Linked DNA regions of Lepisosteus oculatus. The protein of the gene in region 1 purifies or fractionates together with the protein of each later gene. This does not show direct contact. Links are inferred from orthologs where the notes say so. Each region holds a gene or a part of one and is shown on either strand. Other genes may lie near its edges.

Evidence for each region.
Region 2: the proteins of gatad1 (region 1) and phf12b purify together in Homo sapiens (affinity purification with mass spectrometry; 7 studies listed by BioGRID and IntAct, with this or other methods). This does not show direct contact. The link is inferred for Lepisosteus oculatus from reciprocal best matches to the Homo sapiens genes GATAD1 and PHF12.

What each region holds. Positions count from the first base shown.
Region 1 is NC_090705.1:5,057,052-5,060,801, reverse strand, and holds the start of gatad1 (GATA zinc finger domain-containing protein 1), read left to right. Parts: upstream 1-1,142; 5' UTR 1,143-1,355; coding exon 1,356-1,541; intron 1,542-2,249; coding exon 2,250-2,372; intron 2,373-2,463; coding exon 2,464-2,523; intron 2,524-2,610; coding exon 2,611-2,794; intron 2,795-2,893; coding exon 2,894-3,084; 3' UTR 3,085-3,750. UniProt on the Homo sapiens protein: Component of some chromatin complex recruited to chromatin sites methylated 'Lys-4' of histone H3 (H3K4me), with a preference for trimethylated form (H3K4me3).
Region 2 is NC_090721.1:7,537,150-7,540,899, forward strand, and holds the start of phf12b (PHD finger protein 12), read left to right. Parts: upstream 1-1,311; 5' UTR 1,312-2,037; coding exon 2,038-2,103; intron 2,104-2,758; coding exon 2,759-2,940; intron 2,941-3,750.

The DNA.
Region 1 (3,750 bases):
CCCACAACACAACAGAGGCCACTCTTGATCCTGCTCATCATCCTTCTGTGCCTAGAATAAGAAATCAGTTCTGTTGTATTAAGAAGTGCTGCTGTTGTAAAACACGGAACACAGAACATCAAAGCAAGTGTTACAAATGATACTGCATATATTCTTTTAGGTTTCAGAAGTGTAGGTTTTGAAAGAATATGACCCAAGTTATAAGACCTGCCCCGTCTTGATAAGTCCTACCTGCTGGCAGTGCAATTGCATTTCATATCCATTTTGGCCAAACAAGGTAGCCATATCACTCAGCAATTCACAACTGGCAACCCACTGAAGCTAAGCAGGTGTAAGCCTGGCCAGTACCTGGATGGAGGACATCCTGGGAAAAACTAAGGGTGCTGCTGGAAGAGGTGTTAGTGGGTCCAGCAGGGGGCGCTTACCCTGCGGTCCATGTGGGTCCTAATGCCCCAGCATAGGGACGGGACACTATACTGTAAACAGGCGCCGTCCTTCGGATGAGATGTAAAACCGAAGTCCTGACTCTCTGTGGTCATTAAAAATCCCAGGGTGTTTCTCGAAAAGAGTAGGGGTGTAACACTTGGTGTCCTGGACAAATTTCCCATTGGCCCTTCCCAATCATGGCCTCCTAATCCAGGTGGATGCTGCACATTGGTGGTGGTGGAGGGGAGCCCCGTTACTTATAAAGTGCTTCGAGTAGAGTGTCCAGAAAAGAGCTATATAAGTTTAAGCAATTATTATTAATTATAAGGTATAGTTGGATTTCATTTAGTTGCGTCTATTATCAGCACTATGGATATAAATTTCTTCTCACCCCATCACCACAATTCATTAGAACCATTATAAAAGGGAAACATTCTCGTCTTCACACTGAAGAGAAATTAGTTTTACGAAATGAGACGATCAATTCTAACCTAATTCTAACCTATCAATTATAACCTAATCGTTGTCTTCACGAACCCATGAAACCGAAGGTCCGGTTCCTGGTTTTAACGTTTTGTGATCGGAGCTGATCGGTCCTCCACCCAGCAGAGGGCGGTACACGCAGTTGTCGCTGCCCAGGAGCAGCTGGCGAATGTGACAGCTCGGAGAGTTTCCTCGGTGGCTTGAATAGCCAATCGACTCGCTGTTTACGGGCGGAGCTTGAGGTCCTCTTCCGGAGATGAGTTCCTGGGGTCCGCTTTTGTTACGGATGGTCCCCCCCTCCCCAACCCCGATCAGATTTAAACTTTAATAAATTACAGAGTGCAGCAGCAGCAGCAGCCCTAGCTCCCGCATGTTTTTTTCTAGGAAAAGACTGACGCGCCCGACCCGAAAGCAGCCGAAGTTGCGTCTCGTTTCGCGCCGGGACCATGCCGCTGGGACTGAAGCCCTGCTGCAGCGTTTGCAAAACCAATTCCTCTTCCATGTGGAAGAAGGGGAATCAGGGGGAGATCCTGTGCAACAGCTGTACCGGGAAGAGCGGCGCGTCCACCGGAGGAGCCCCGGGGACCGCGTCTTCTTCCTCGGCACAGCAGAGCAATGGCGGCGGGAAGCAGGTGCGGACGGTACCCAGACGGCAACCTCACTTTTCTGAAGCAGCAAGCGAGCCGCTTTGATTGGTAAAAGGGGCTGCCGCAGTGACGGTCTTATTGAGGCACTACTTTTGTTTGATCGTCTTCTGGAGACCTTTATGCTAGAGGTCTGTCGTAGGCCGAGGGCGTTTTGTTTTCTTGCCGTGTTAAAATGTTGTGTTTTTAGTCCGGCGTGCAATCGCCTCTCCTCCTGTCTGGCGTGGCGGAACTGCTTGTTCGGGGGTGGTTTGGTGAGTCGGGAGGGTTTATACCCCCTGAATGCGTTTCTAAAGGTCATGGTCGGAGGACGTTACCTCTGGCACTCCTCTTTTTTGTATCCTGCTGTTGATGGCTTGATGTGCCTCACTTTGCGGCTCTGGAAACATGTCTGTTCCGGGTCATGTCCAGTTCTCAAACCAAAATACCCTTGAGGCAGCGTATGCAAGCAATGTGCCTTTCCAGCCCCTCGAACTTGTAAAAGCCAAATAATTAATGATGTTCCGGGCTTTATCCCCAAAAAGTCCTTGACATCAAGACATGTGACATGAAATATGACCCTATATATTTTCTAGCTAAATCTCGTCACGAAATGTATGAGCTTTGCCTCTTAGTTTTAGGAGACGGGCTTACTCTTGTGCTATATAGGACTCCTAAAGTCTTGTTTTCACTTGATAAGATAATCCTGTTTTTCAGTCTAAACAAGAAATCCACAGGCGCTCAGCGCGGCTGAGAAACACGAAGTACAAGGCTCCGGCGAACGAGAAGAAGGTCTCCACTAAAGGAAAGGGCAGACGGCACATTTTCAAGCTCAAAAATGTAAGCTTTCACCCGCTGTGAGCCAGCATGTGTAAGCAGCTGTCTGATGTAGCGAAAAGTCCAGAAACCCCCATGTCAATTTTTTTTCCAGCCAATTAAAGCGCCGGAATCGGTGTCTACAATAATCACCTCCGAATCCGTTTTTTACAAGGTAAGCTGTGCTGAAAGCAGCGACTAATGAACGGCACCCGTTGCGAAAGCACCGGCCGCACACTTGCCTTCCCCGTTGTCGTTCCAGGGCGTGTATTACCAGATCGGGGATGTCATCAGGGTGATCGATGAGGAGGACGGGATGCCCTACTATGCCCAGATCCGCGGGTTCGTGCAGGACCAGTACTGCGAGAAGAGTGCCGCTCTGACCTGGCTCATACCCACCCAGACCAGCCCCCGGGACCAGTTCGACCCGGCCACCTACATCGTCGGTGAGTTCGGTGAGGCCGGACTCCGAGAAGCCGGACCGCACAGAACCGCTTCGCGCCCACTGCCCTGTTCTCCCTTTCTTGTTTTGTTTGTTTGTTTAGGGCCAGAAGAGGACCTACCCAGAAAAATGGAGTACCTCGAGTTTGTGTGCCACGCGCCTTCTGAGTATTTTAAGTCCAGGAGCTGTCCCTTCCCCACTATTCCTCTTCGCCCGGAGAAGGGTTACATTTGGACTCATATAGGACCCACACCTGCAATTGCAATCAAGGAATCTGTTGGGAACAGCCTGTAGTCTGAGTGCAGTGCTGGTTCGGTTTTGATTTTCTGGGCAGTGTGCTCGGAGACTGATAAGAACTCATGAAGTGCGTAGAGCAGACCCGCCCTGTGGAATGGCACTGCGTTTATGGGATGATCTGCAATGTAGGCTCTTCCTATAATCGTCATTAGAAAGCCACCTCATCCTGGGAAGAGCTGGGTTCATCCACAGTCTTCCTGAAGAACAGCGTACAAGGTGGGGCTATGGAGGACTACACCTGGCTCCGGACTGCAGTTTCTGGAGAATAATATAGCCAGCATATTTTAAGAAGGTGGGAAGAAACTGGAGTACCTGGAGATCCCCCATGTGAACAGTATTAGTAAATCCGGCATTGAACCCTGAACTCTAGACTTGCAACCATGTGGTCTAGTTGGCATTTGTGTTCTAAATGTCTTGAGAAATTGTGCATTGTGCTGGGAGGAGACAACGTGCTCTTGGCCATAAATTGTCTCTGGAGTCTTGAGTTTGTAAAGGAAAAGAAGGTGATGTGTGAGACATTTTTCACATATTTCATGTCAACATTTGTTTTGTACATAAAGATATATACTGAAAATGCTCAATTTTTTGGAGTATTTAAAGCCTGTTTTTTTCCCCAAGGAAAGGGAAAAAGAGCCGGATGTTGAAACTGATTTGGTTGTAGGT
Region 2 (3,750 bases), on another chromosome or scaffold:
GTCCCTATGTAATCTGTTTCAAGGTGCAAATGCTTTTAATATCACACTACCACAGATGGATGCAAGGCATTGCAATATGTCTACGTGCAGAAAAGACCATAACGGGTTTTCTTGGAACAGTGTTACAAAATAACCCTACAATTGTGGCCATGTTATGTGTAATCCGGCAAAGTGCGAAACTGCGCTAGTATTTCTTAACTATCATAATTCTGTAACTTGTTTTCTAATATTATAACACCGTTTCTAACTACACTATTTTATATTAGAAGAGCTTTTCGCGCGTGTGACGCGTCACAGGAGCACAACCAGGTCCGCAGAACTAGACGCAGCTTCTGCGCCGGGAGCGAGGCAGGACGTCGAGCGTGCGTGAGAGGCTGGTCAGCGCCAATGGAGGGGGAGCCGAAATGTCCCCCCCCCCATCGGCCTGAAAAACACAGTCAATTTTACTTTCCCATCGTTCGTTTAATCTGAATTTACACCATCGGCGGGTTAGGTACGGTGGTCCCCCTTGAATGACATTTTCTGTTGACCTAAATCGAATGTTGGTCTCCGTCTCTGAAATTGAAGTACGTCACTGTTTTTAAAGCGATCATTAAAACAGTAACTGGTCTTGAAACGGGTTTCGCCTTTAAGGGCGAAGGTGTTAGACTTATTTTTCTTAAACATTATTTAAATAAAAAGAGAAATCGGGGATATTCATATTTTTTCACGCTATTTACAAAGCAAAACCGGAAAGGACCAGGCTCTTTCCCTCTGAAGTAGAAAGCACTTCCGTTTTAGAGTATGCCACCGCAGCAGGGTCTGTGCCGTAAATCGTGTTTCGGCCCGATAAGAGGTCACAGCTTTAAATCCCCTGTCTGCAACACGGAAAGTACAAAGCTTGTATTGGTGTGCTTGTCACTGTTCTGTAGGACGGGTGACAGTTAAAAAACAACTGCCAAAAAAATGCACCTCCACAGACGAGAAGGAATTTGCCATTACCAATATGGCGTCTCCGACCTTCAGTGGCAAAGATGCTAAGCGTCTGCGCAGTGGTGGCAGATACCCGGATGATGACGACATAGATATATGTGCGGAATTTTCCTATTTTTAAATCTTACAGTCAGTCCTGTTCCTGCAAAATATCCCCCTGTCGGGTACATAAAGATTAGTAAATTAGAAAACTTCCTGTGGCCTTAATGGTTGTTTTTGTAAAACGGAGTGAAACGTGTTGTTTTGTAAACCATCTGCTGGAAGCTCAAGCGACATGATACCCTACCAAGATGGCTACCTGAGACTTCATCCACCATTACGGGACTGCGCATGCCCAGACGGCGCTTTGCTCAAGTTTGCGCCAACTCCATGGAGAGGATGTTAGCAGTGTCGGGGATAGATGCACAGGATTGATTCACAACAATAATATTTATCTCGCAATAACGGCAGTGATCTGTGGAAAAATAACAACAAGGGTATCCCCGATTGTAGCCACGTGTGGTCGGCCTATCGATTACCCTGGTGCATTTTTATTGCTTTTAAAAAATATATATATATTATGGAAGGGAACGGTTCTGCCGATCTGAAGAGCATCTTTGCTAGCAGCAGCTATAATTGCAGGAGCAGAAACAAGAACCATGTAGGTTAGGCCTCACAAAGGCCACGCTCTTGTATTCCTGTGGTTTTCTTTCTGCTTTTTATGGTTGGACCTGGTCCCGCGACCAGCACCTTCGCCATTGTGAACTGGAGCCGTCGGGAAGCGTGGAACTGACGGAATTTCGGGCTCCGGTGCTTTTTTGGTTTCGCTGGTGGATTTCGTCAAGAAAGGACTCGCCGCCGTGCGATAGTCATCAGATTGGGGGAAAAATATTGCATATTCTTGCGTTTGTAAACAAGCCCGCTAAATCCACGGATTGCAAGCCCACGGTGGGACACGTTTGCGGGTGAAAATACAGCTGGCCATTTGGATACTTTTGTATGTTGGGACCGTTGCTTTTTACCTTGGAAAGCCGCGGCGTTCAGTAAGGATTCCGTTTAATACCGAAGGAACTGACTGCTGTATGAATGTGGGACAAAATGGAGACCCCAACGATTGTATACGATTTGGATACCACTGGAGGTCTGATGGAGGTAAGGCCTTAAAGATGATCCTGACCCAAGTGCGTTTGTTTTATTTAAAGAAAACACCGTCGTGTAGAATTGGGATTGTTAATTTGCATTAGAGGTAGGCAAAAGCGGCTAGATTTGAAAAGTTCAAATCGGGATTAGGCGTGCAAAAGTGATACAAACCTGCAGGTGACACGAATTCTCAAAATGTAGTAATTCCCCTTGAATTTTGTCTCGGCTTTGACCGAGTGACAGCTATTAAAACGACACATGTTGACAGGGCAAGCTACGTTTTGCTCGGTCTGGACCATCACTGGCGACTGTGCTCCGCCGGGCCCATAGGACTACGCACCCGGGCCAGGAGCCGTGTGTCGGACGGCTGTTTTTAACTTTTTAATCTTTGCACATTTAAACATTAGCTGAATGGCACTGAGCCCCCAGACGGCAAACGCCATGTTCATTGTCTGTTTTTCAGAGTCACTCAAAAAAGTGAAGTTCGGGCATGTCAAAGTCGTGGTAATTTCTCTCTTCAGCCCTTATAGCAGCAGTAGCCGCGGTCTGGTAATCGATATGTGCAGCTACATATATGTAGGAAATCGCGTATGGAGGAACTGGTTCGCTTTTCCCCTTAACTTTTGATTCCCTCTGTGTGTGTGTCTGTGTCCCTGTCACATTTCAGCAAATCCAAACCCTCCTCGCTCCCCCCAAATCCGAGGACGGGGAGAAGAGGAGCCGAAAGCCGGATAAAGAGGCTCGGAGGAGCGGCAGGGCCACCAACCACGACACCTGCGACAGCTGCCGGGAGGGAGGGGACTTGCTCTGCTGCGACCACTGTCCGGCCGCCTTCCATTTACAGTGCTGGTGAGGCCCGCTGACCGGCTCTCCCCGCCGGCTCGAGCGCCCCTCGCGAGGGGGGGGGGGGGGGCGCGACGGCAAACACGGCCCTTCCGCCAGTCTCGCGCTGGCGGTGCGGCCGGCTCTGGGCTCCGAGGCAGCCGGCGGCCCCTGTTCGGCCAGACGGACCCTCCGCCCTGGTTTCGTTTACCAAAACAACACGGTTTCAATTTTAAGACTGGGGACGCGGGGGAAGAGGAAAGATACGGGCGTGTGTGGCGGTTGCGTTTCAGGGGAGTCGGGGGGGGGGGTGTTGGCGTTCTGGGATTTCAAGGTTTCGGCCGTTGAGGTTACGGAAAGGAAATGGCTCCGTTCGGTTGCCATCGAAACGCCGCAAGTGGACTTTTGCCCCCGGGTGGGTGTGTGTGTGTGGGGGGGGAGGCAGGCCGGGGCAGGTTTCGAGCTCCAGTGTTTTACGTGCTAAGGCTGCAACAGTCCCTGCCGGAGCGAATCGAGCCTCCTTATCTCGGAACCGAATGATGTCCACCCATAAGTGAAATATCAGCCACTTTCATTTTGTTTTTGTTTTTTAATCAGTGTTGCGTGTCCGCGCCCTTGCTTTAATCCCCGGGGGTAGTTCTCTCCCCCCTCCCCTCTTCTTTCTTGGCCGGGGTTTCACTGAACGGGGCTTTGGCAATTTTGGGGGAAAAAAATGGAGTCTGCGCTGCGGTTCGCCTGCGCTTGTGTTTACAATATGGCGACCTCCCTTTAAAATGTTTTATTCCAGCGCCATTTTGCTGTCATTCTGCGTATTAGTGATATTTATTCTAAAATAGT